3 linked regions of the Drosophila melanogaster genome follow. The gene in region 1 interacts genetically with each later gene. Each region holds a gene or a part of one and is shown in the gene's direction. Other genes may lie near its edges.

The links. A genetic interaction does not mean that the proteins touch.
Region 2: of Nsf2 (region 1) and Bacc, changing one suppresses a phenotype caused by changing the other (phenotypic suppression), as found in Drosophila melanogaster (one study listed by BioGRID).
Region 3: of Nsf2 (region 1) and CG32650, changing one suppresses a phenotype caused by changing the other (phenotypic suppression), as found in Drosophila melanogaster (one study listed by BioGRID).

The regions. Positions count from the first base shown.
Region 1 is NT_033777.3:13,830,555-13,839,706, reverse strand, and holds Nsf2 (N-ethylmaleimide-sensitive factor 2), read left to right. Parts: upstream 1-1,715; 5' UTR 1,716-1,794; coding exon 1,795-1,904; intron 1,905-2,004; coding exon 2,005-2,329; intron 2,330-2,964; coding exon 2,965-3,930; intron 3,931-4,169; coding exon 4,170-5,027; 3' UTR 5,028-6,210; downstream 6,211-9,152. Other genes in the region: CG31495 (uncharacterized protein), read left to right, coding at 1-933. UniProt on the Drosophila melanogaster protein: Required for vesicle-mediated transport. Catalyzes the fusion of transport vesicles within the Golgi cisternae. Is also required for transport from the endoplasmic reticulum to the Golgi stack.
Region 2 is NT_033779.5:2,749,638-2,759,137, forward strand, and holds Bacc (bacchus), read left to right. Parts: upstream 1-2,807; 5' UTR 2,808-3,203; intron 3,204-3,357; exon of another isoform or gene 3,358-3,431; intron 3,432-3,595; exon of another isoform or gene 3,596-3,734; 5' UTR 3,735-3,777; coding exon 3,778-4,023; intron 4,024-6,370; coding exon 6,371-6,533; intron 6,534-6,607; coding exon 6,608-6,657; 3' UTR 6,658-8,283; downstream 8,284-9,500. Other genes in the region: HemK2 (HemK methyltransferase 2), read right to left, coding at 8,913-9,500. UniProt on the Drosophila melanogaster protein: Negatively regulates tyramine beta-hydroxylase tbh and thus the conversion of tyramine (TA) to octopamine (OA).
Region 3 is NC_004354.4:12,896,286-12,901,633, reverse strand, and holds CG32650 (uncharacterized protein), read left to right. Parts: upstream 1-2,964; 5' UTR 2,965-3,046; coding exon 3,047-4,087; 3' UTR 4,088-4,131; downstream 4,132-5,348. Other genes in the region: Flad1 (flavin adenine dinucleotide synthetase 1), read left to right, coding at 1-88; Coq8 (coenzyme Q8), read left to right, coding at 679-2,111, 2,179-2,731.

The DNA.
Region 1 (9,152 bases):
GTTTGCGCACGCGAAATTGCAATGAAAACCAAAAATTTCACGGAGGACGAGCTGTGCCAACTGGTCCGAGAAGCCCTCCATGAAGCCATTGTCCGCACTCACGTCACCAGATGCCCGAAGGGCCTTCAAGTCACTCAGGTCGATCTCCTGGCCGCGGTAAAGATCATTCAGCCACGATTTGGCCGGCAGGAGGAGACTCTCCAGCTGCTCATGCCATATGAATATCTAGATCGTACCGCTTTCGATCCGAATGATCTCCTGTCCACCGGACGCCCAAGATGGTCTTGCCATCTGGTCGAAGGTAAGCCCAAGTCAGGCCTAACTACGGTGGCCGCTCAAATGGCTTTGAAAACAGACTGCCCTTTTATAAAATACATCTCGTCGGCCGAATTGCTGGGACTTAGCGATTCCGAAAAATGCCAGAGAATACGGGAAGTCTTGGAGGACGCCTATGTTTCCAGGCGCAGCTGCGTCATCATTGACGACTTTGAGCGTGTCATTGGTTACGGCGCCCTGGGTAAGCGGTACTCCAAGGAGTTCCTGCAGAAGCTGACGGTTCTTCTGAAGAAACAACCGCCCAACAGCCACGAGCTCATCATCATTTGCACAAGCAATCGTCTCGATGTCCTGGAGGAACTGGGCTTGCTATCCGTTTTCACTTCAGTTCACAATGTGCCAAATGTTTCCACGCCTAAAGAACTTATGGTCATAGTGGAAGCTTCAAAACGATTCGAGCCCGAGGAGCTACGCCAAATCGAGATCGCCATGGATGGCCGCAACGTCTCCATTGGCATCAAACGGTTGCTTGACTTGATTGCGTGGGTGAATTCCCTAAATCCCGACCGTCGAGCTGCCAAATTGCTGAAGAAATTGGGCGAAGCAATGGGATGGGTAGGGAACCATTCTAGTCCACTTGTACCTCAATACATTTAAGACGTTAGGTTAGGAAATGCAATATTGTATCTACAATTCCAGGAAAATAATTCCAAGTGATTCCAAATAATTCAGTAATGCTTTATATTTAAAAGAACCACGTAAGCATAAAAAAACCATCTAAAAAAATAATATTGCATTATTTTTTGGATGAACTTGCTTCCATTGCATTGCAATGTTCTTAAGACTAAAATGAACAGCCCGATAATGTGATTGCAAAGATACTAGATTATTATATTATATATATATTATATATACACCAGGCCAGACCTCTCAGTGGCCTTCGCCTGCTGTACGGAGAGCATTCCGTCCTCCAGGAGTTCGGTGACCGGTGGGCCCAACATCTCCTGGGCTGCTCCAAAGGCGGGCTTGATGTCGTTGTCCAATATATATATATATACATAATTATATATATAATATATATTATATATTATATATATATATTATATTGTTCTAGTGTCTTTGGTGATTGGCATAACAAGTTTTATTACCATATTATATATATATAAGTAAAAATAAAGATATTTGAATTGCAAATGCCACCCATTTTATCGTTATTTACTTAGAGGATTTGGCTTTTGATACAACACATTTTTTGGATTGTTTTCTTCACCAATCCTGGTGCTGCAGAGCTGCTTAGCAACAGCGAAGAAGTCTTGAATGCGGGGGATATATGTATTATTAGAAAATGCAAATGCGCGCCAATGAATTCAAATTTGCACTGCAGGTGCCGTAGCAGGCATCTTTTGCTCGCAATCACAGTGCATACACACACGCAATGCCGAACAGGGTTGCACTCCCTCAACGGGCTATCAGCTGTTTGAGACAATTTCGGGATTATATTATAAAATTGCTACGAAAATGTCAATTGAAAAAGCCCACCGGATGAGAGCGATCAAATGCCCAACGGATGAGCTGTCCCTGACGAACAAGGCGATTGTGAATGTGTCCGATTTCACGGAGGAGGTCAAGTGAGTGTTGGTTTTTGTTGTTTTTCCACTTCCTACGTGGGCGTACGAGCCTATGGAAACTTTCGCTTATGCTAATGACGCACCGCTTGATACCCTGCAGATATGTGGACATCTCGCCGGGCCCGGGGCTGCACTACATCTTCGCGCTGGAGAAGATCAGCGGGCCGGAGCTGCCGCTCGGCCACGTCGGATTCTCGCTGGTCCAGCGCAAGTGGGCCACGCTCTCCATCAACCAGGAAATAGACGTGCGGCCGTACCGATTCGATGCCAGCGCCGATATCATCACACTGGTCTCCTTCGAGACGGACTTCCTGCAGAAGAAGACCACCACGCAGGAGCCCTACGACTCCGACGAGATGGCCAAGGAGTTCCTCATGCAGTTCGCCGGAATGCCGCTGACCGTCGGCCAAACGCTCGTCTTTCAGGTAATGGTGTGGATGTGGCTCCCCCATAAATGTATGCAGTATAGAAAAATAGATAGCAAAGGACTGAAACTAAGGTAGTAATCTGGAGAGGATTAGTGATATATGCCAGAGCCAGTTAAAATACTACCCAATTCAATGAGGGTTCTCGGTTTATCTCGGACGCACCTATTCATTATTTCACCATTTATTGTGTGCACTTATAATAATTTTGGTTTTGTATAACTTTACAAAAAGATTTATACGTTCATAGCATAGCGGTAGTGAGAATATTCGTTATTTGTGTTATTCGATATTCGTTATTTTATATTTACTGACGTGTCTTGATTGTCATGAGATGCTGAATCTCATATTCCACATTTAGACGGTGACCTAATGCAAATATTAACAAGGTAGCTTACCTCCAACAATTAGAAACCCAAAGACACGTAACTCTCCCTTAGATCATCTTTTTGGCTCTCTGCCAAATCTTTTTTAATAATTCAGCATACAATGTCCCCCTTTTTTATGAACTAAAAATAGTGTGTTAGGCTGCCCTCATAGGAAATGCAACTATCTTAACATAGTAATTCTTCTAACATGCTCCTTAATGTACATATATCGTTCGTTTGCTAATAAGGATGTTTACCGCCTTTCAGTTCAAAGACAAGAAATTCCTGGGCCTCGCTGTAAAAACGCTGGAGGCAGTGGATCCCCGAACAGTGGGCGATTCCCTACCGAAGACTCGGAACGTACGATTCGGCCGCATCCTCGGTAACACGGTGGTGCAGTTCGAGAAGGCCGAAAACTCTGTGCTAAATCTGCAGGGTCGCTCCAAGGGTAAGATCGTGCGGCAGTCCATCATAAATCCGGACTGGGACTTTGGCAAGATGGGCATTGGTGGCCTAGACAAAGAGTTCAATGCGATTTTCCGACGCGCCTTCGCCTCTCGTGTTTTTCCGCCGGAACTTGTCGAACAACTGGGCATCAAGCACGTTAAGGGTATTCTGTTGTACGGACCACCAGGCACGGGAAAAACCCTGATGGCCCGGCAAATAGGTACCATGCTGAATGCCCGCGAACCCAAGATCGTGAATGGACCGCAGATCCTGGACAAGTACGTGGGTGAATCAGAAGCCAATATCCGGCGACTGTTTGCCGAGGCCGAGGAGGAGGAAAAGCGCTTGGGACCGAACAGTGGACTGCACATCATCATCTTCGACGAGATCGACGCCATTTGCAAGGCTCGCGGATCCGTGGCCGGTAATAGTGGTGTCCACGACACGGTCGTCAATCAACTGCTAGCCAAGATCGACGGCGTGGAGCAGTTGAACAACATCCTGGTAATAGGAATGACCAACCGGCGGGACATGATCGATGAGGCCCTGCTGCGACCTGGACGCTTGGAAGTGCAAATGGAGATCAGCTTGCCCAACGAGCAGGGTCGCGTCCAGATCCTGAATATCCACACCAAGCGGATGCGTGACTTTAACAAGATAGCTAGCGATGTGGACAACAATGAGATCGCGGCCAAGACAAAGAACTTCAGTGGCGCAGAGTTGGAGGGTCTGGTTAGAGCGGCCCAATCCACGGCCATGAATCGGTTAATAAAGGCGGACTCCAAGGTATATGATGCACAGCATGGCGTGAAAGCAAAGAAAGGGGGTTCTCTTAATTCACATTCGGATCGAAATGTTATTTTATTTATTTGGCGTATTCGCTTATTTCATTTATCTCTCGGTTTGCGTTTCGGGTTTCGTTTAATTTCGAGTAATTTGGTTTCGATAAACCAAGAAAGCGATTAACGTTCGACTGTTCCACTATTCTAAAATTACCATCATCATTTGCTTTTCTACGATCCAAGGTTCACGTGGACCCGGAGGCTATGGAAAAACTGCGTGTTACGCGAGCCGACTTTCTGCACGCATTGGACAACGACATCAAGCCCGCCTTTGGAGCAGCCCAGGAGATGCTGGAAAATCTGCTGGCACGCGGAATTATAAACTGGGGCCCACCGGTCACCGAACTCCTGGAGGACGGAATGCTCTCCGTACAGCAGGCGAAGGCCACTGAGAGCTCTGGCCTGGTGTCTGTTCTCATCGAAGGAGCTCCCAACTCCGGCAAATCAGCGCTGGCCGCTAATCTGGCCCAGTTGAGTGATTTCCCATTCGTTAAGGTCTGCTCCCCGGAAGATATGGTAGGATTTACGGAGTCAGCCAAGTGCCTGCACATCCGCAAGATCTTCGACGACGCCTATCGCTCCACATTGAGCTGCATTGTGGTGGACAATGTGGAGCGATTGCTAGACTACGGTCCAATTGGACCCAGGTACTCTAATCTCACGCTGCAGGCGCTATTGGTTCTACTGAAAAAGCAACCGCCAAAGGGTAGAAAACTGCTGATCCTGTGCACTTCCAGCCGGCGGGACGTTCTCGAGGAGATGGAAATGCTCTCGGCTTTCACGTCCGTCCTGCATGTGTCCAATCTCTCAACTCCCGAGAACGTGCTTGCCGTGCTGGATGATTCTGATTTGTTTAGTCCCGAGGAGCTGCAGAGCATTGCCAGGAAAATGGCGGGTAAGCGATTGTGTATCGGCATCAAGAAGCTGCTGGCTCTCATCGATATGATCCGGCAATCGGAGCCTCACCAGCGGGTTATCAAGTTCCTCAGCAAAATGGAGGAGGAGGGCGGTCTGGAAATGGATAGGGTGCAAGGGCACTAGCTACGCCTTTAAATTAATTTACATTCCATTATCAAACAGCAGAGTGGTTCGATTTGATTGATTCAAACTGGAAAAACGGTTATGTGTTTACAATTAAAAATATATATATATGTATTAAAACAAAAAACCGTTACAAAAATACTTATAACCTTTTGGGAAAAAAGTACAACGTAATATAATATAATAATATATTCCCATATTTCAAAATATCTTACTTGCAGAGTGGGTTTCTATAAAATTCTATACTTTCGTGAAACTTTGAAATTAGTTGCCTTCAAGCCTAATACACAGAACCGGTGACCACTTTTATTGTTTATTAGGAAGTGTATAATTTTATAAACTCATATTCTGCAAATCGAAGAAATCGACCCACCCTAGTGCAATTTTATGATTGTGTTTTTTTTCCCGCTATCAAAAGGGAATCACAATGATAGGTTTCAGCTGCAATATAATATTCTAACGCTATACTTCGCTTAAGTTCCACTAAAAAAAAAAAAATATAATAAAGCGTAACTGAAGACCAACTTGTGAGATAAAGTCAAGTAATTTGTAAGTTTTGAATTTGATGATACCAACGAACTTAAAGTACTCGCATTAGCGACTAAGGATAATCCGTCGGTGTCCACCATGAAAATCTCAGTTTGAGTGCACAGACTTACATAGAGAATTTGATACCAACATGATGTATTTTATAAGGATTTTACGGATATTGCATTTACCATGATAAATAAAAAAGACAAAAATCCGATGATGCAGCCCTAATAGATTGATCTTTTAAATCAAAATTGAATTAAGATGCTTAAGCGTTATACCGATACTTAAGAACTATAATTCTGAAAGTTATTTTACAGAGCGCACAGTTTTGAATACGTGTGATTTTTATTTACATGACTTTTTACCAAAAACGAAAACAAATCATTTTTGTTATATTTTTCTTTACATCCATAAGTGAGATCACTTTGGGTTTGAAAACTAGCTAAAGAAGGTGCATGTCTTAGCTACAATTTCTGAATTTCGATCGAAGCTTTTCGAAAAACACGAAATATATGTGAATCATTTGTAAATGGATATGTCTTTTATGGATAAACTTGATGTGTACCAACGGGATAACAAACTAATTTATGTAATTTACCCAATAGCTAAAAATAAATGGAGTTTTCCCAAAGACTATGGTCTTTTTAATAAGAACGGCTGAAACGATCTTTAGTCAAAAATATATATAATGCAAATTGATTGATTGCCTTTTCTTTTCGTTCCAGGACACATTAGTTCCCTTGGTAGTTTCGGAGTGTAGCAGCTTGAATTCTTTGAAAACTCCTATTTATTTAAATATTGTTTTTTCTCGGCGATCGCCGCCCGACAGCTGTCCGCTTGGAAGGCGTCAAGTGGTTATCATACCATGTACTCACCCGATCCGATCCGATCAGTCCGATCCATCGATCAGCTGTTCGCGACAAGATCCGACGCCGGAACCCAATCAGAGCAGTGGTCAGCTTGGCCGAGGTGCTGACCACAGCCAGTCGGTCGGCGTAATATGCAATTTGAATAAATGATTTATAATGAAAACACCTTAGCGGCGCGTCGTCTGCGTATACGTAATGTGGAGCGGAGTGGAGTGCCACACTGCTCGGTAATTGATATATGGCGCTAATTGCGCTCGACGCCCATTTGTGGTCCAGTCCAGCTTTATCAGCGGCAGTCGTCTGAGGAATCCTGGGTAGCCATAGCCATAGCCAACAGTCATGGTAGCACCCAAAGCCATGGCCATGTCGCGACGGTGTCAGCTGCTAGTCAGCGCCACTTATTAACTAATTAAAGCTGCATATTTGCAAAGATCTGAAAATTGATTTGCATTGCCAATTGCCCCTGGAACTGCTCGACACAATCATGATTTTGCCCAAAGGGTAGGGGAAATTCTGGACATCGTGATCGTAAAGATTTTCACACTCCAAATATACATTGTAAATGTAAGGACTATTAGTAAGTCTACGTATAATTGAAACTATATGAAAAGCAACATGATTACTAGGGTATGCCCCTGCATAAGACTTACATTTTAGTCTAATGCCTTATTGGTCATGTGCAATACTTGTGATTTTATAACCCTTAGATGGGTTAAATTGGCATGCCCACAAGGTTTTTAAGCTTTTATAGTTTATAAATGTTCCAAAAGGTGCATTTGATTTGATTTTTTTATTTAAGACATACGATTTATACCAACAAATATTAAAGACGAGCTTTGCATCTTTATTTCTGCGGACTGTGACCGAGTAAGGATCCTGTCCGTAATTAGCACTTGGCAAGTGCGTCCGAATCGCAGGAAAAGTCACCCACCCACCCGGCAATCGATGGGTAATTATAATTCGCGGATTTGGGGCCCGGCCAGCGCGTCAGTGAGCGGTCGCTCACGTATGCAAAACGCTTGGTGACGAAAGTCCAGTCGGACAAAGATCAACGACCGGGCCAAAAAGCAAAGCTGCGCTGCCGGCAGCAGGAGCCAAAATTAAAACCGAAACGGATTTTCATTCACCGCCTGTAAAAATAACGAAACTCTTACAAATTCGTTTTTTTTTTTTGTTATTAATTATTAAAGCCAGCAGCGGCGCACTCTCTGCACTTGTGAAAAGTCAATTCTCCGGCGCACAGTGTATCATAGTGTATTATTTTGCTACATAAGTCTTTATTATTAAATCTTCTTTAGTGTTTTTGTTTTAAATGAATAATGAAACTTAAAGTATCTATAAAAATTCCTAGAAATACACTAAATATTAAGTAAATATTATTAAAAAATACGTGTACGTACGCCTTTAACACCATTTTTATTATTTCTTTTTTTATTCTAAATCACTGTGCGCAGTCGCGCCTCTCGTAAACTTTGAAACCGGCCCGGCTTAGTTGTTTTTGTTGCTGCTTAAAAGCGCAAACGCCGGCAGCGAAGGTTCGATTTCACTTTCGCACGGTGTCCCCTACCCCTCGCTTCTTTCTCCCTCTCGCACCAGCGGACCACCCCCTGACCGGCTACAGCTCCCCCCCCCCACCTCACCCTTCGCCCCACGAGCTGGCGGCCCATCTGGGGTGTCATGTTTTGAGCTCTTTACGAGCGGACGACGCTCTCACCTGCTTTCTTTCGCACAGAGCTTGTGCTTTCGCTCTCGGATCTTCGATCTTCGATCATCAATATGCGCGATCTCCGATCTGCGAACTGCGATCTTCCATCTCGCATCTGCGATATCTCAAGCTATCCAGAGAAGATGATGCGCTTTTCCAGCAGATTCGTACCATCGATTCGTTTGAATCGACATGGTGATCTACAGATATTTTGGCGCCACATGCAAATCCCACGGAAAATTGTCAAAGCACTGAAAAAAACAGGTATGCTGAATAATTTTCAATAACACGCTTGATTGTTTGAGTTTCCACAATGTCAACTTTTGTATTTGTACTTTTTAAAGAAATATAATACCTATGGATACCTGGAATTGCCTTAATTATATGCCCTATTTTTTTTCCAGTGATTGCAAAACTTACAAGCGTGCATATACATATGTACTTTCAGCAGCTCGGGGAAAATGTAAAGCGAATACAAAACAAACATCATGGAAAATCTTCCTGCATTACACAAACGCGGAAGATTTTCCTCGTACTCGCACATTTCATGGTTTTTCCAAAGCTCAACTAGCATTTTCGTGGCATTTCCATTGATGTTTTCGAGCTCTTTTTCCTTCTGCGCTTGTGTGTGTGGTAGTTAGCATGCGAAACTCGCAGATAAATTAGTATTTTTTGGCGCTGCCTAAGCTACAATTTTACACTGCGACTGTTTTGGGTTTTTTCTTGGCTTTGGTTTCGGTTTCGCTCTTCGCCTGGTTTTTTTTTCATTCATTTCATTTTCCCCTTTGCAATTTATAATTGAGTTGCAATTTGGCTGGCAACTATCTGTGGAATGCAGAGGGGCGCGGGGGCGGACTTTTCGCGGAACTTGCATGCGTATTAGTCATCAACTGAGTGGGGAATAAAAAACGCATTGGTCGAAAAATTTGGCAAGAAAATGGGGAATTAACCCACCTAGCAAGCTGCTCTTAAGAATGAGTTGAATATTTCATTACCAATTTGTCAGAATTTACTTTT
Region 2 (9,500 bases), on another chromosome or scaffold:
TAGCCAAAGTGGCGGGTTTTCAAAGAACTAATCTGCCCAAAGGACCAATTGTAATGTGAGCACATCACTAAAATAATCGATAGATTGCCATATCTGATGGGGTTTTGGGTGGCTGCCTGGGAGACTGGGGTGCGTATAAGCCTATTTGGGGCACTTCAGATGCAGCATTGCAGTGGTAGCGGCTGTCCTCCTTCATCCTTCAGCCAGCCGTCGGAAGAATGTCCACTCACACGTCACGGCTGTGGTGCTCTGCGCAATTAAGGCACCGCCGAGGACCCGGGTACCCACTGGTGATGACACCACGGCGCTGCTGCTGGGTCAGGTGGTATTGGAAATCGAAGACAATGGGGCTGCTTAAATTCATTTTAATAATTGCGTGTAAACCGCCCGTTGACGCAGGTGAAACGCAGGCGAGCAGGTGAGCCGGGCCAGTACATATACCTGGTCGAGTCGCGTCCATGTGGCCCGGCACTCGTGTGGAAACATTAGCACATGCCGGGAAAACGAGACCCGACTCCGAAAGTGTCCAATGCGACGGCGACGGCGATGACGTGCTAGCGCTAGAGATCAAGAATCCAGAGAGTCAAGCAGCCAAACAACAGCCAAGCGACCAAGCGAATCGCCCATCTAGCAACAGTCTAACAATCACTCTAATCGAGTCGTAAACCTGTTCATGTTGTTCCACCCAGCCATCTTGTTGGGTACCTAAGCGCTAGAAGGGACAGCCTATGGTGGCTATTCGTATGCGCTACAATTGGTTTTGTATCTGAACGGTGAGCTGCGCTACTCTTCATACATTGTTTACCATGCTATCGATGATATCATATCGAAATAAAGCTGTCAAAAGAACTGAAACTTCCGTTTTTGAAAAGCCTAACAACCCGATTAGAAGAAATCTATTAAGCACCGCATTAAGCTGAAAGAGCGAAAAACTTAATCGCCGTGAATACAAGCTGATGTGTGTGTTTTAGATACACATGCTAGCTGAAGCGTCTGGCTATCGATTGTGTTTGCATTGAGATTTGTTCGCACCTTTATGCTACAGCAAATTAATGACGCAACAACGTGTAAGTGCACTGGGAGAAATTCCTGAGGCAGGTCAGTAACGACAACGGTCGGGGAAAAATCCCTTGCGTTAGTTTCGTGTTCGAAAGGGCCATAAAATTTCCGAATCGACAGATGTTTGGGTTCCGGGAAGCAGGACCATCCATCCATTTCTGCCTGCTTGAGATCCTACCTACCCGGTGGTTGCCTGCATTTGAAACCGTTGTCTAACCTTGAAGTAACTACGGTCGTACCAACCAAGCCGATAACTCGAGAAATTGGCACAGGTTGTCCTCAGGAATCTAGATACCATTGTTCAACACCGAGAGGTGGTCTCACAAGCCCGATGAGCACGACTATTCGTATCGCGAGAGACCCACCAATCTTGGGCCGACGAGCGTCAAGCCACTCGAACGGATACTGAGAGTTCGGCGGACGGAAAGTGAGACAGTGACAGCCAGAGAAGAACGGTAGGCGGCCCATGGAAGCACAGCGAAATGGAGACGCAAATCGGCTTATCAGGCAGCGATGTTCAGGCAAAAAGTCATCGCTGCTCCTCAAATATGTGATAACTGAGTGGACGACGGGCCACGATTACAGGTGTTTACGTTCACCATGCCGCCTCGGTTGGGATGCCGCGGAACATGTTCGCCGGTTTTAATTAGCGATCCGCCTGTCGACAGTCGTCCGCTCGCTCTGTCGTCGACCGTATTATTCAGATTACCAGATATATAGCCTAGGTATTCGTATTTGCCATTGCTTTCGCACGAAAATAGCTGAAAGCGTGAGAGGCTGTCCAATCGAAACTCGACTGTTGGATACCCGGCAAACGATAGTTATTACCCTTTCGTCGATAGGCTACTGGAAATAGCACCAAGAACCTTATGTCTTCCGGTCGAATTCCTCTAGTATTACTTTATGGGTTGTTATTCCGCTCGTTAATGTGCACATTTTGAATGAACTTGAAGATCAACCTCGCAGTGATTGTCCCACTGATAACACAGATTTATAGAGAAGAGCCAGTACAACTCGAGCACGTTGACTACCAGGTGATATGGGCGATATGTTATAGCCTACTCGGCAGTTCCAGTTTCCCATATATTGGGCGATTCCTGAACCCACTGGGTTCGTGCGGCGAACGAAGCCATCACCATCAAATGGTCGAACCACAAGTGCGGGATCAACAGAAAGATTGGCACATGAAAAAAGAGTCAAGGGTGGACCCAATTCGACGAGTGATAGGCATTGGCATTTAAGTCGAAGTCTTTGGTGGGGCCATTAGGACTTAAGGATGTTTAATATTTCTGGAAATTGCCGATTTCGAAAACTAACCCTTAAATGTTTTCGAATCTTATGGGGTTGCAAATTGCTGTTTTCTTGCTATTTCTCCAGTTCTCTAATTCTAGTTTTAAGACGCATAATCCCGGAATAGAGCATTTCCCCGATTGCGTGCATCTAAATAGTTAGAATCTCAAAAATAGCTGCCCGCTTTCCTGGTCCGCGAAAATCACCTGCTTCCCCACACGTTACCAATCAATTGACCCCAATCCGCGACGACATTGCGTCCCACGCTGGTCCACTCTATAAATACGAATACCGTGCTGAATACAACACACAGCACACACATCTGCATCTGCGGCAACAATGCTGCAACACTTCTTCCCATCGGCAACATCCACATCCACTGTTCTGCTCTGTTCTGTTCTGTTCCACCGACGAACGGTCAGAACGCCACAGAGTGACTGCACCACACACACCACACACCACCATCGCCGCTACCAACCCCCAGACCCCGCCCCCAGGCCCACAAGCGCACCACTGGCGCGCGCAATTTTCAAATTTACCGCCAAACGCGCCCACAACCGTACTCACGGAACCCAAGCAGATTTTGTATGGAATTAATCAGGAAACCCACTCAACTTGTCATTTGCGGATCTAGTTTTGATCGCAGCGCCTCGGGAAAAAGCCCAAAATTAAGCGGATACTACCAGCTATAGCCTCGATCAGTCTCTGAACCGATCCGAACAAAGGTATTCAAGTTATAGGCAAAAATGTCTGCAACCGATTTGGCGCAAGAAGAAGCAAGCGGCAATTTCTAGCCATCGAACGGACGGCAAGCTCAGTCTTGTACGAACCGTCGACGGGAGCACATATCGGTGGTTAGCAAACCAAAGGAAAACGGATATTCCATACATCAGTGGGGCCTACGAGTAAATCCTTTTGCCTGCCGTAGCGCCGCCTGATATATGGCACCTCCTAAAGCCTTACTATATAGATACTATATTATCAGAAAATCACCGCAAAATAATATACCAAAAATCCAACGATCGCTCTGCTCTGGGCTGTTGTTGTTGTCTTATCGACTGCGGCTGTACAAATGCCGCGGCGATTTTTTGAGTGTATTGTATGGGCCAATGGCGTGGGAGAGAGAGAGCGAGTGAGCGTCGTAACGATTTCGGGGAGAGCGAAAAAGAGAGCAGCGAGAGCGTTTAAAGAAAGTTACTCTCTCCTCGAGAGGCAGTGCTTAAATAGACGGCCCGCAGCTGAATCGCATTCAGTGTGTTTGTGTGCTTCGTTCGGTGCGGTTCTCTCTGTCTCTCTCTCGCCTTCCCCGAGTATTTTGCGCTGGTTTTTTGTCAACAACAAGACAATCCACAAAACCAACCCGAATTGTTCTCTATATAACGCAGAAACTAAATAGTTCCGGAAAACCTCAAAGAAACCAATTCAAATATGTCGGCTGCTACGGAACAACAGAACAACGGCGATGTGGCCGTGGAGAAGGTGGCGGCAGATGATGTGTCTGCTGTCAAGGACGATCTCAAGGCGAAGGCGGCCGCCGAGGATAAGGCCGCTGCTGCCGATGCCGCCGGCGACGCGGCCGACAACGGTACGTCAAAGGACGGCGAGGATGCCGCCGATGCCGCCGCCGCTGCCCCCGCAAAGGAATCCGTGAAAGGCACCAAGAGGCCAGCAGAAGTGAGTACTGATCTATGTGACTAGGTAGTTGTTTACGCGGTAAAACCAAAAGGAGGCCCCTCTAATGATTCACTCCAAGCCAATATGCCAGTAGCATAGCATTGTTCGAGGAAAAATTCTAGAAATAGATATACACACGTTTTTCGGAACAGCGCACTCTCCCAATGGCTTACATATGCCCCCAAAAGAGAGAGCGTATAGCTGGCTCGGTTGTGCGTTTGTGTTGTTTACGATTAACCAAGATGATTGCGGGTCCGGCAATCAAAGATTATTGTTGTTAGGTTCAAATCGAGGTTAGGAGGGCCGCCGTGCTTATATAGGCGGGGAGTACAGTTAGCCAGGGCCTTTTCTTTGGTGGGGTGGGTAATGTGTTTTTAATAAACCCATAGGTCATTAGCATTGACGTGTCCGCTGAACAGCGTTACCCAGCAATAGATACATTGTGGCATTACGTCTATAACTCATACGCTTGGCCTTATTTATCAGTCGCTGTGGCTACGGGAATTGCAAATGCAAACGCAAACGCAATTCAGCGCGATGCCAATGCACTCTCTCAATGAAAACACACATTGCCGGCCGGTAAATTACTCATGTCATGTTTGGCCACTTTATTTTTGGTTAGTATCGCCAAGAGCACGCGGTATTCGAACAAGTTTTGGGGGCCTGAAGCAGTCGCATTCCATAATCGAGTAGCACATTTCTTGATAAAAATAAAATAGTTCGGCCAGTAAGGCAGATAAATTGGCAAATCAAGCGCTTTTCTCAGACTCAAACTCGAAATAAAAATGTACAGTTTAACGGGAGCGTTCTCTCGCTCTCTCTCTCTCTCCCCGGAGAAAGATAGATACAAATAGAGAGCGCTGCTAACTCTCTCCCTCGTAATTTGTATACACACCGTTTTGTCTGTTTGCGTATGTGCTTACATTTATCTTTCACTTTTTTTTCTGCTCTGCCTTATGCGTATTTATTTTAGTACATAAAACAAGACGGCTAAACAGGGTGTCGCAAAAGTTAGTTGGGTTTCTTCGGGATTCAATTGAATAATGATCATTATCCCATGATCATGAATTAGTTGAGATACGTTTGGCACGGATAATTCTTAGTGGTACAGTAACGAATTGTATAGATTTCAAGAATAGTTTTGAAAATTATTCGTTGGTTTCCATATCTTTCGATTCCAAACAACAGATTAGCTTTTGTCCCTATAAATGTATCTTCACGCTTAGAAAACACAAACTAAAACCTCTAACTAAATCAAGATACATTGATTACCCAGTTATAACACCAGTAATAGTAGGCTTAGTTCTTGCCAATACAGATACACCCTGTTCGTCTTAATCCTCTATTGGCCTTTTCTCGAGTTCTGGGTCTCGTGACTTATGCTGTAAGCGAAGTGAAAAAGGGGGGCGATGGGTGGCCATTAATTTTGCACATTTTTCCACAGTCCGATTGTTTTTCGCTTCTTCCGCTTTGTAACAGTCTGGTAAATAGGGCCCTTGTGTTGCGGCTTCTCTTCGACTTGGGAACGTGACCGCCTATATACTGCCATAAACCATATACCATTATGTGTATCTTGTTGTTGGTTGGTCAGCGGCAAAAGTTAAACCCACGCATGTTGTTGTTTTGCGCCTTTTTCGCTGCCGACGTCGCTGCAGCAGCTGTCGTTCGGATGGCTGTGAGTGAGAGCGAGAGATTCATTCATGCAGTTCAGGTACAGTTTACAGTGCTGCGGATTCAGATGCTCTCTCTCTGGCGCTCTCGCCCGCTCTCTATCTTACAGGGCACGCTTCGTTTCGTATCTCACGGATGCGGATACATATGTCGCTGCCGGCGTCGCTGCTTATTGTTTTTTTTTCCTTCCCCCTTATGTAGTAAATATGTCGCCTTGTACATACGGAGCACAGATGTAATGTAGCGCGGTTGCACTTGTAATCCACTCTCTCACGTACTCTCTCTCCCGCTGTCTCTTTTTGCCGCAGCGAATTACATTGGCGCGCGCATTTTTCAAATGTTTTTTTACGGCGAAAATAACGATTTTCGTCGCTGCTTGTTTTGTGTGCTGAAAATATACATTTTATGACTATGTACACACGCACAGGAAGTTGAGAGGGGTATTGGATGCCCTTGATCAAGGAGATGTGTGGGTTTGAGTTGGGCGCGTAGGACCATTTCGCTCCGTAATTCTCCCTAATATCCTTTAGTTTGTTTCTCAGATTAATATCAAAAATGCATAATTAATAGTGACGGGCCCCTTATTTCTGTTCAATAAACTTGCTTGTAATACAGTAAATCATCAGCGGAACAAAAACCAAAGGAACTCTACTAACTTCTCTTTTTTCGCTTCCAGGCCAAATCCGCAGAATCAAAGAAGGCCAAGAAGGCCGCGGCCGCCGATGGAGATTCCGATGAGGAAGAGGCTCTGGAGGAAATCATCGAGGGCGACAGTGAAATCGAGAGCGACGAGTACGACATCCCCTACGATGGTGAGGAGGATGACATTGAATGTGATGGTGAGTTCACGGAAGCACTTCCCTTTTCCACATCAATCTAATCCCCGGATTTTCCCTTTCCCTTACCCGCGCAGATGATGATGATGATAATGATGACGGTTCCGGCTCGGACGATCAGGCGTAATAATAATGTAGTCAAAAATACAAACAAAAACAAACAAAAATTTAAATTAATAATAAATAAAAGTTACAAGCAAAAACAAAACAAAAAAAATATAATAATAAACCAACAAGCAGAAAATAAACCACAACAAGGAGAAAATGAGGAGGAGGAGGAGAAAAAAACCACAAAAAAATCGCAAAAGTATATAATTTTTATGTTTAAGAAATAATTTTTTATTTCTTACCTTATTTTAATTGTATTTTATGTGTACTTTTTTTATAAAAAACTACAAAACAAACAAAAATTGTAATTGAAGGCATTTTCGTATAAACGCAACCTATACGGAATCCAACAAAAAGTAAACATCCCCACTATATACAAGAACAAAACAAAACCAAAATCTTTCTTTCCTTTATCTCATAAGTCCTAATTTAAACGCCCAGTTGATGCGTAAACCAAGATATACAAAGATTTCAAATGTAGCGTAAACGAAGCCCGCGAATTAAACACAGATACACTACACTCACACACACACACGATATTCAAATTCATTATTAAATTAGACGTTACATTTGTGAATGAATGATCGATCGAAAGAAGCAAAAATACAAAAGTGAACATTTGAAAATGAACATGATTATGAACATGAAAAAGAAACAGCAAATGCAATTAAATACAAAACAAATAAAACATAAAAATTGTATTTAAATAAATCGCAAAAATCATTGAAACCCCATACTCGACAAGCATTCAATGACACTCAAGTTTTAGCTATGGTTTCAAAAATTTCGCGCCCATTGTGGCCACAGTCACCCGAATTTCCCAAACCCAAGGCACTGGGACTTAGTTGGTCTTCGCTTTTGGGGCAAATACAAAAAAAAAAAACAAAAAAAAATGAAAGGAAAACATCGGGAAGTTTGAGTTCTAACCTTCTGTTTCGTTTCAGCATTTAACTATAAACTATGACTAATCTTAAGTACTTATGTCAGTATTAAAGCGAGGGCTTTATTATTCTGTTGATAAGTTGTGCGAGCGAGTCGTTGATAAGCCTAATTCATTTGTAAATTGTAAAAACCAACTCGAGAATCGAAAAACGAGCAAGAAAATAAACTTTTAATGTTACATGTATCTAATTAGTAAGGGCATCCAAACTATTTATACACACACCCCGTACGACGAGTTCTCAATATAAACATATAACGACTGATATTTCAAAACGAATCGTGCCCAGCTGGTCAATCACGGCACTCGACACCGAAACCACCCAACCACCACCATCCTCGAATCTAAACGATTTGTCCCGGAAAGACAGACCAGCCCAACATACACACACAATCCACCCACTGACCCAGATCCAAACTCCAAGAGGCTTAAAGCTGGTAATGCCAACCAGCAACTGAATAATTGAGTGCAATTAAACCAATATGCCCAAGATAAATCATCCGATTTGATAACTGATAAACAATAGCGATATCACAGACAATGTTAAAGAACTATGCATTTTTGTAAATACCAATTACTCATGTATCTGCTCCGTGCGAGAATAACATCTAGTAGCGCGAAAGGGCAAAAAGAGAAAAGAACCACGAATCGAAAACGAGAATAAGAAACAATTTTGAACGATGAAATAAATTATTGTAATTACGTAAAAGCGAAAACCGTACGTACATACCACCCATTTGGCATCTGTTCCGATGCCAATAAAAGTTTGTTTCAATTGCAGTTGGCCATTTTGGGTGGGGCAATCACCTCGCTTCGGTGTTCCCAGGGGTAGTAGTTCTTAGCCAGGAGCATGTACGTATGTAGGTACATAATTCATAGATTGGCCGCCCCTACATTACTCCGATCCATCCCTTCCATATCCCAGTTTTCGTTCGGGGGTTGACGAGCTGGTTCCCACAATCCTCCCTATGAAAGAAATCATATACTAAGGGATGATGGAAAAATTCAATCGGAAATTTCCTTTGATTAAGTACCTTTTTCGGATTGAAAATCGATTAGCCTTAGCAGATGCCTATTAAAAAAACGAATGATGAAATTCCGGGCTCTTCGTTGGGCAAATGAAGTTGAGCTACTTTTATATTCAAATTCAAATATAAGCGCAAAAATTTCTAAAAGTTTAAGAGCTTTTAAGTTTCATAAGCCATTTCTTTCATTTATTTCAACTTTTATTAAAATTATTCTCCATATTATTTAGTATCAAATTTAAGAATAAACGCCTAAAAAAGTTTATCTTTTAATTAAAATACAACTTTAATTTGATGCTATTGCACGAGTCATGATGATGCCAAGTACCTGGTGACCTTCAGTATGCACAAATGCTCGCCAGGAATGCGTCGCTCCATGAACTTAACAGCCCGGAACTGGAGGCCCTCTAAGTATTTGATAATCTCCTCCGGCTTGTTCTCCCGCAGCAGGAGTAGGTAGAGCACGCCTCGAGGCGAAAGAATGTCATCCAATTGCTTGAGTAGAATGTCCGTGACGCGTCGCCCGTCCTGTCCACCAGCCCAGGAGAAAACCAGATTGCGATCCGTTGAGGATTCGCTGTGCGAATCGAACTGTTGCGTCTGCAGCTCCTCGTCACTGGTGACTACATAGGGCGGATTGAAGAGCAGCACGTCCACGGATCGCGGACGCAGTGCATCCGCTAGGCTGCAGCGAATGCTATCCAAGCGAGCGCCATTCCGAGTCGCAGTTCTTCGAGTGGCATTGCAGGCTTTGGGATTGATATCCGTAGCTAGGCACAGCGAAAAGCCAGCCAGTTTCTTGGCCAGCGCCGTGATGATCACACCCGAACCGGAGCCCAGTTCGACGCAGAGACTCGGCTGTAGCCGGTCCAGGTACTCCAGATCCTTTTCCAGGGC
Region 3 (5,348 bases), on another chromosome or scaffold:
CTGCTCCTGCGATCTGGGTGGCTATCGGCCCGCCTGGGAGCTCCAGGATGCCACCATGGAGCGTGCTGGTCGCCTGCCCAGGAAGTAGGATTCCATTTGCGTGGCTATAGTGTAATTGAATAGCTTAAACTCCAGTTAGTCACGAAACTTTATATAGCTGTGTATATATATTAACGTGTGATCTGGATTTCGGTAAACAAACTTAATTTAGTAAAATTTTGTACGACCTAAGGTATGCCGCTGAATAAATGTGGCCTCTGTTAGCAGGCCACTTAAGCAGTATTCCTAGTTTTTATGGAGTATTTAAATTTTTAGTTGTTTAGTTGTTGAATGTTTCTTTCTAATTTTGCATAAAAGCTGAAGCAAGCTAAAAGAGCCAAAGAAACAGCACTGGCTTCAGTGCAAAATCTAGTGCTGCAGCAAGCTGGCTTTTAAAAGCTAGAAAAAGCTCAAGATGCCATGGTGCCACTGTTAAAACGCCAGCATGGCAGCACTAGATGGCCAGTCAGCTGTTTTGCCAGCTGATTTTCGCCGCATTTTCACAACATTACGCGATTCTTTGAACTTTTTTTGCTGTGATATTTTTACGAGATTTACGTAATCCTACGCGCCGATCATCACCAGCGAATCACCCACGCGAGAGCAGTGCACAATAAACCAGTATTTCCTCGCTCCGCGATGTCGCGATCCGCACAAGAAGCTGCGGCGCTGCTGCGGGGACTGCGGATCTTGTTGGAGGCGTGTGGGCGCGAGCATCTCGCCCACGGTCGTCATCTGTGGAGCAATTCAAGCATTCGTGAGCTAATCGCCGAGAATGTGGCGCACACACAGCAGCTGGTGAGAAGTTCCAGTCAAAATCCCACCGAGGAGCTGAAAAAACTGCAGCAAACTGTAAAAGAAACGGGCGAAAGGGGCTACGTGGTGGCCAAAGGTATTTGCTCGCTGCTGGAGACGAAAATCAAGATGTCCCGCGAGGAATCGGCCATCTCTGAGCCTGCACAAGTCTCCTCAATTCGTAAATCCACACCCACGGCACAAAATCCAGCAAGTTGGGACGCCGCCAACTTGGATATATCATCCATAACGCTGCAGGAGTTCGAGGAGATACTCTCGCGCCGGAACAAAGATCGTAGTGTTAGCTTGCGCACCCCGGCAACCAAAAGCAACCAGACCATGCCCAAAAAAGAAACGTCAACCAATCCGGGCATCATTACCCAGGACACGGAGTATGTAAACAATGTGCTGCGGTTTGTGGCGGGCGCCAAGGTGGAGGAGCAGCCACCAGATGCGCAGCCGAAGAAGAAGTCCGACCAGCCGGCCATTGAAGTGCCCGAACTGAGCAAGGTGGCCAAACAGCGCAAGGTTCCCTCCTCCCGGATAGGCAGAATGGCCTCCTTTGGCGGCCTGTTCGCCGGCCTGGGCCTGGGAACCCTCAACGAGCTGACCAAGGGTGCACTCGGCCTGGGCGGTTCGACCAGCATGCGAGAGGCGTTGCTCAGTCCCGCCAATGCTGAACGCATCGTGGACACGCTATGCAAGGTGAGAGGAGCTGCCCTGAAGATCGGACAAATCCTGAGCATACAAGATTCCAGCGTTGTGTCGCCGCAACTGGCCAAGGCGTTTGAGCGGGTGCGTCAGGCGGCGGACTATATGCCCGATTGGCAGGTCGAACGCGTGATGAACACCCAATTGGGTGCCGATTGGCGACAGCGTCTCAAGAGTTTCGAGGACAAACCCTTTGCGGCTGCCTCCATTGGCCAGGTGCATCGGGCAACGCTGAGCGATGGCATGGATGTGGCCATTAAGATCCAATATCCCGGTGTCGCCCAGAGCATCGAGAGCGACATTGACAATTTGGTGGGCATGCTGAAGGTGTGGGATGTCTTTCCACAGGGTTTCTTCATCGACAATGTGGTGCGCGTGGCCAAACGTGAGTTGCAATGGGAGGTGGACTATGATCGCGAGGCGGAATACACGGAGAAGTTTCGCGAAATGATCGCGCCCTATCCCGAGTACTATGTACCGCGTGTGGTGCGCGATCTGACCACGTCCAGCGTTCTGACCACCGAACTGGTGCCCGGTGTGCCGCTCGATAAGTGTTTCGATCTGAGGTAAGCTAATGATGCAAACGCACATGCATATAGTAATCAATGGGCTTCATTGAAAATTCACTTCCAGCTACGAGCATCGCCGCCACATAGCCGCATCCGTGCTGAAGCTCTGCCTGCGCGAGCTCTTCGAGATTGAGTGCATGCAGACGGATCCGAATTGGTCCAACTTTCTGTACGATGCGCCCAGTCGCCGGCTAATGCTGATCGACTTCGGTTCGACGCGCTTCTATAGGCATGAATTCATCCGCAACTATCGCCGGGTGATCATGAGCGCCGCCGAGAACAATCGTCAGGGCGTTTTGGAGATGTCGCGCGAAATGGGCTTCCTAACCGGCTACGAGACGAAGCAAATGGAGCAGGCGCACGTGGATGCGGTGATGATATTGGGCGAGATCTTTCGCTACGACGGTGATTTCGATTTCGGTCGACAGAATACCACCGAAAGATTGGCCGCCCTGGTGCCCACAATGGTGGCGCATCGATTGTGCCCGCCGCCCGAGGAGATATACTCCATTCATCGCAAGCTATCGGGCATTTTCCTGCTGTGCGCGCGTCTGAATGTGCGCATGAATTGCGTGCCCTTCTACAAGGACATCGTTCTGGGGAAGTTCAAGGACTAGTGAGCACAGCTCACCCCTCTTCCCTTGACCATTTTCTTTTTTTTTTTTTTTGTCCAATCCAATCCCAGTTGTAAACCATAAGTGCGCTTAATTTGTAAATGCGATTCGCTGCAAGATTACATATGTTAATTTCCCAACTAACGTGTTTATCCTTAACTGACTGGGTCAGGGTTAGTTGTCAATTGAATTGGAAACAAGTAGGTTTTGAGCAATCCCCAACAGCTAACACACACACACACACATTTTAGTTAAAAACCCCAACAATAAAACACTACACAAAAAAAATATATATACATTGTATCTAATGCAAAAAACATGAAGACATTTGTGAAGACCCAAAGCATGAAGAGGAAGAACGAGTTGTTTCACCATGATTGCGTCTCGGACATCGACGGATCCGTATCCGATGGGAGCGAGGAGTTGGAGGAGCAGTCGCCGGAGCAAATCGAGGAGATAGCCTGGCCGCAAATGAAGCGTGAGATTGGCGCCATGAATCGAACGCTGGACGAAATACAGGCCCAGTTGGCCATCGATTTTCACGAGCGCGACGGCGGCAGATCGTGTTGGGAGGAGGAACAGGAGGCGTTGGCCAAGGGCCTGGAACCGGAGGACTCGCGCTGGATGATCATGCACGGTAGCAGGGAGGCGGCCTTGCGAGAACTGCAATGGAATAACCTGCGCATTCGCAGGCAACTGGCGGATCTCGTTCGCTGCTCGGAACTGGGCAGAGCACGCATCTCGGCACTGGATCGTCTGTTCCAACGGCAGACGAAGGAGCTGGTCGGGTGTCGGCAGGACCACGAGCGCGTCCTCTCCTTCCACCTGACCAAGCAACTGGAGGCGGGCAAGTGCCTGCAGCGCTATCGCTACGCGCGTGACTTGTACGCCAGCTGGCGTGAGCTCTTCAAGATGGGTCGCCACCTGAAGGAGGCCTACAAGAAGATACTCGAGCGCACGCAGTCTCGCTTGGAGTATGCAGAGATCAAGCGGCAGGCACTCGACGAGATGACGGTGGCCCACGAGATGTGCCTGGGCTCAACGCGAAGTCTGTTGGCCCGCGTCCGGGATCTGGAGCTCGGCCTGGCACCGCTGGGCTTCTCAAGGCCATCGGTTATGTCCCGCAAAATCGGTAGCCTCGGCACGTCTGGCGCCGGGCATGCCGATAGCAATCGCGCCGAGGAGCATCCCGGCAGGCCCGTCTGGGTGAAGGCCAAGGCCTGGCAGCGTCGTTCCTATCGGACCGTCAAGTTCTCCCGCGGCGAATTGCTCGAGCTGCCGGTGGTTGTGCCGCCCGAGGCGAAGACCTGGTACGGCAAAATGTTGCGCATGCTGCACAATCCGCCCAAAATCTATTAGTGTTTGTTTGCCAATTGTTTAGCTCATTTAAAGTAATAATAAACAAAAAATTCAAAATAAGCAACAGTTTTTTTTTTATTCAAGCGCACTGTTAGCTAACATTGCTGCTTAACAGGCAGTTAGCAGCGAGCTGCACGGTCACACTGATAGCGAAAGCGCATTTCCCGCCGATCGGCTAGCCGGTCACACTGCAAACCGTCGCGTTTCATTTCGCGAAGGCTGCGCGCGCGGATTACGGTTAATTTTCAGTTGGTTTACAAACTTTACAAACGGCGTACGCTTATCGCGATCGCTTTTAATCAACAAACCGAATTAGTTGCCAAAATAACGGGAATGACACAGGAAATGTGCTGCCGGTGCTCAAATGCTAGCTTAATTGAGTGAAAAAGTGCAAGTGATCGAACTGCAACGGTTACAAAAAAAACGGTTGTTTTTCTCTTTATTTTTGTTTTATAAACTAAGAAATCGTTCTATAAATTGCATTTATTTGAATATCTGTAAGCCCGCGTTTATCTCAAATGTACTTGTGCGCGCCACCTGTTTTTTAATTAATATTTTACTACAATCGGCGTGATAAAAAGTGTATGAAATTCGTTATTTTTTTTATTTTTTTGGTTTTTGTTGAGAGTGCAAGATCGTGCAGCTTGTGCGTGTGTGTGCGTTCAGTGTGCTTGTGAGGAAGTTATAGTTTAATGTTGGTTAGCTTCAATTGTCGAGCAACAGAGAAAAAAAGAAATAAATAAATAAAACAGCAGCAGCAACAACAACGATGTGATGCTGATTGATGTCACACACACCACGAAGGAAAAAAAAATAAAAAATAAATAAAGTAAGTAGCAGACAATTGGATTTGCATGGGGGAAGAAGAAGAGCGAAGAGCCGAGTTTATCAATGAAAGTGAACTGTGGGAGTTGCTCGCTTTCAGTGGGTGTGTGTGTGTGTGTGCACAGTGGCGCAGCCAAACGGGGATTTCTGGGGTTAATAACCCCCAGCATACCGGGCACTGTTATCGAACCGAGCATACATCTATCGAAAATATCACTCGCTAAATGTGATTTATCGAAAGTTTACATATCAAATTATCGGGTATTAAAGTTTGCTTTGGTAATCTTTAATCGGTGTGAGAATTAGGAAAATCTAACTTCAAGATCATTTCTAGCGTAACATTACTCTCAGATAAGAACATGAAGGATTTATATATGCACTAAGAATGTGGAATATTGAAAGCAGGCATTATTTTAAATGTGATTTGTTTTATGGT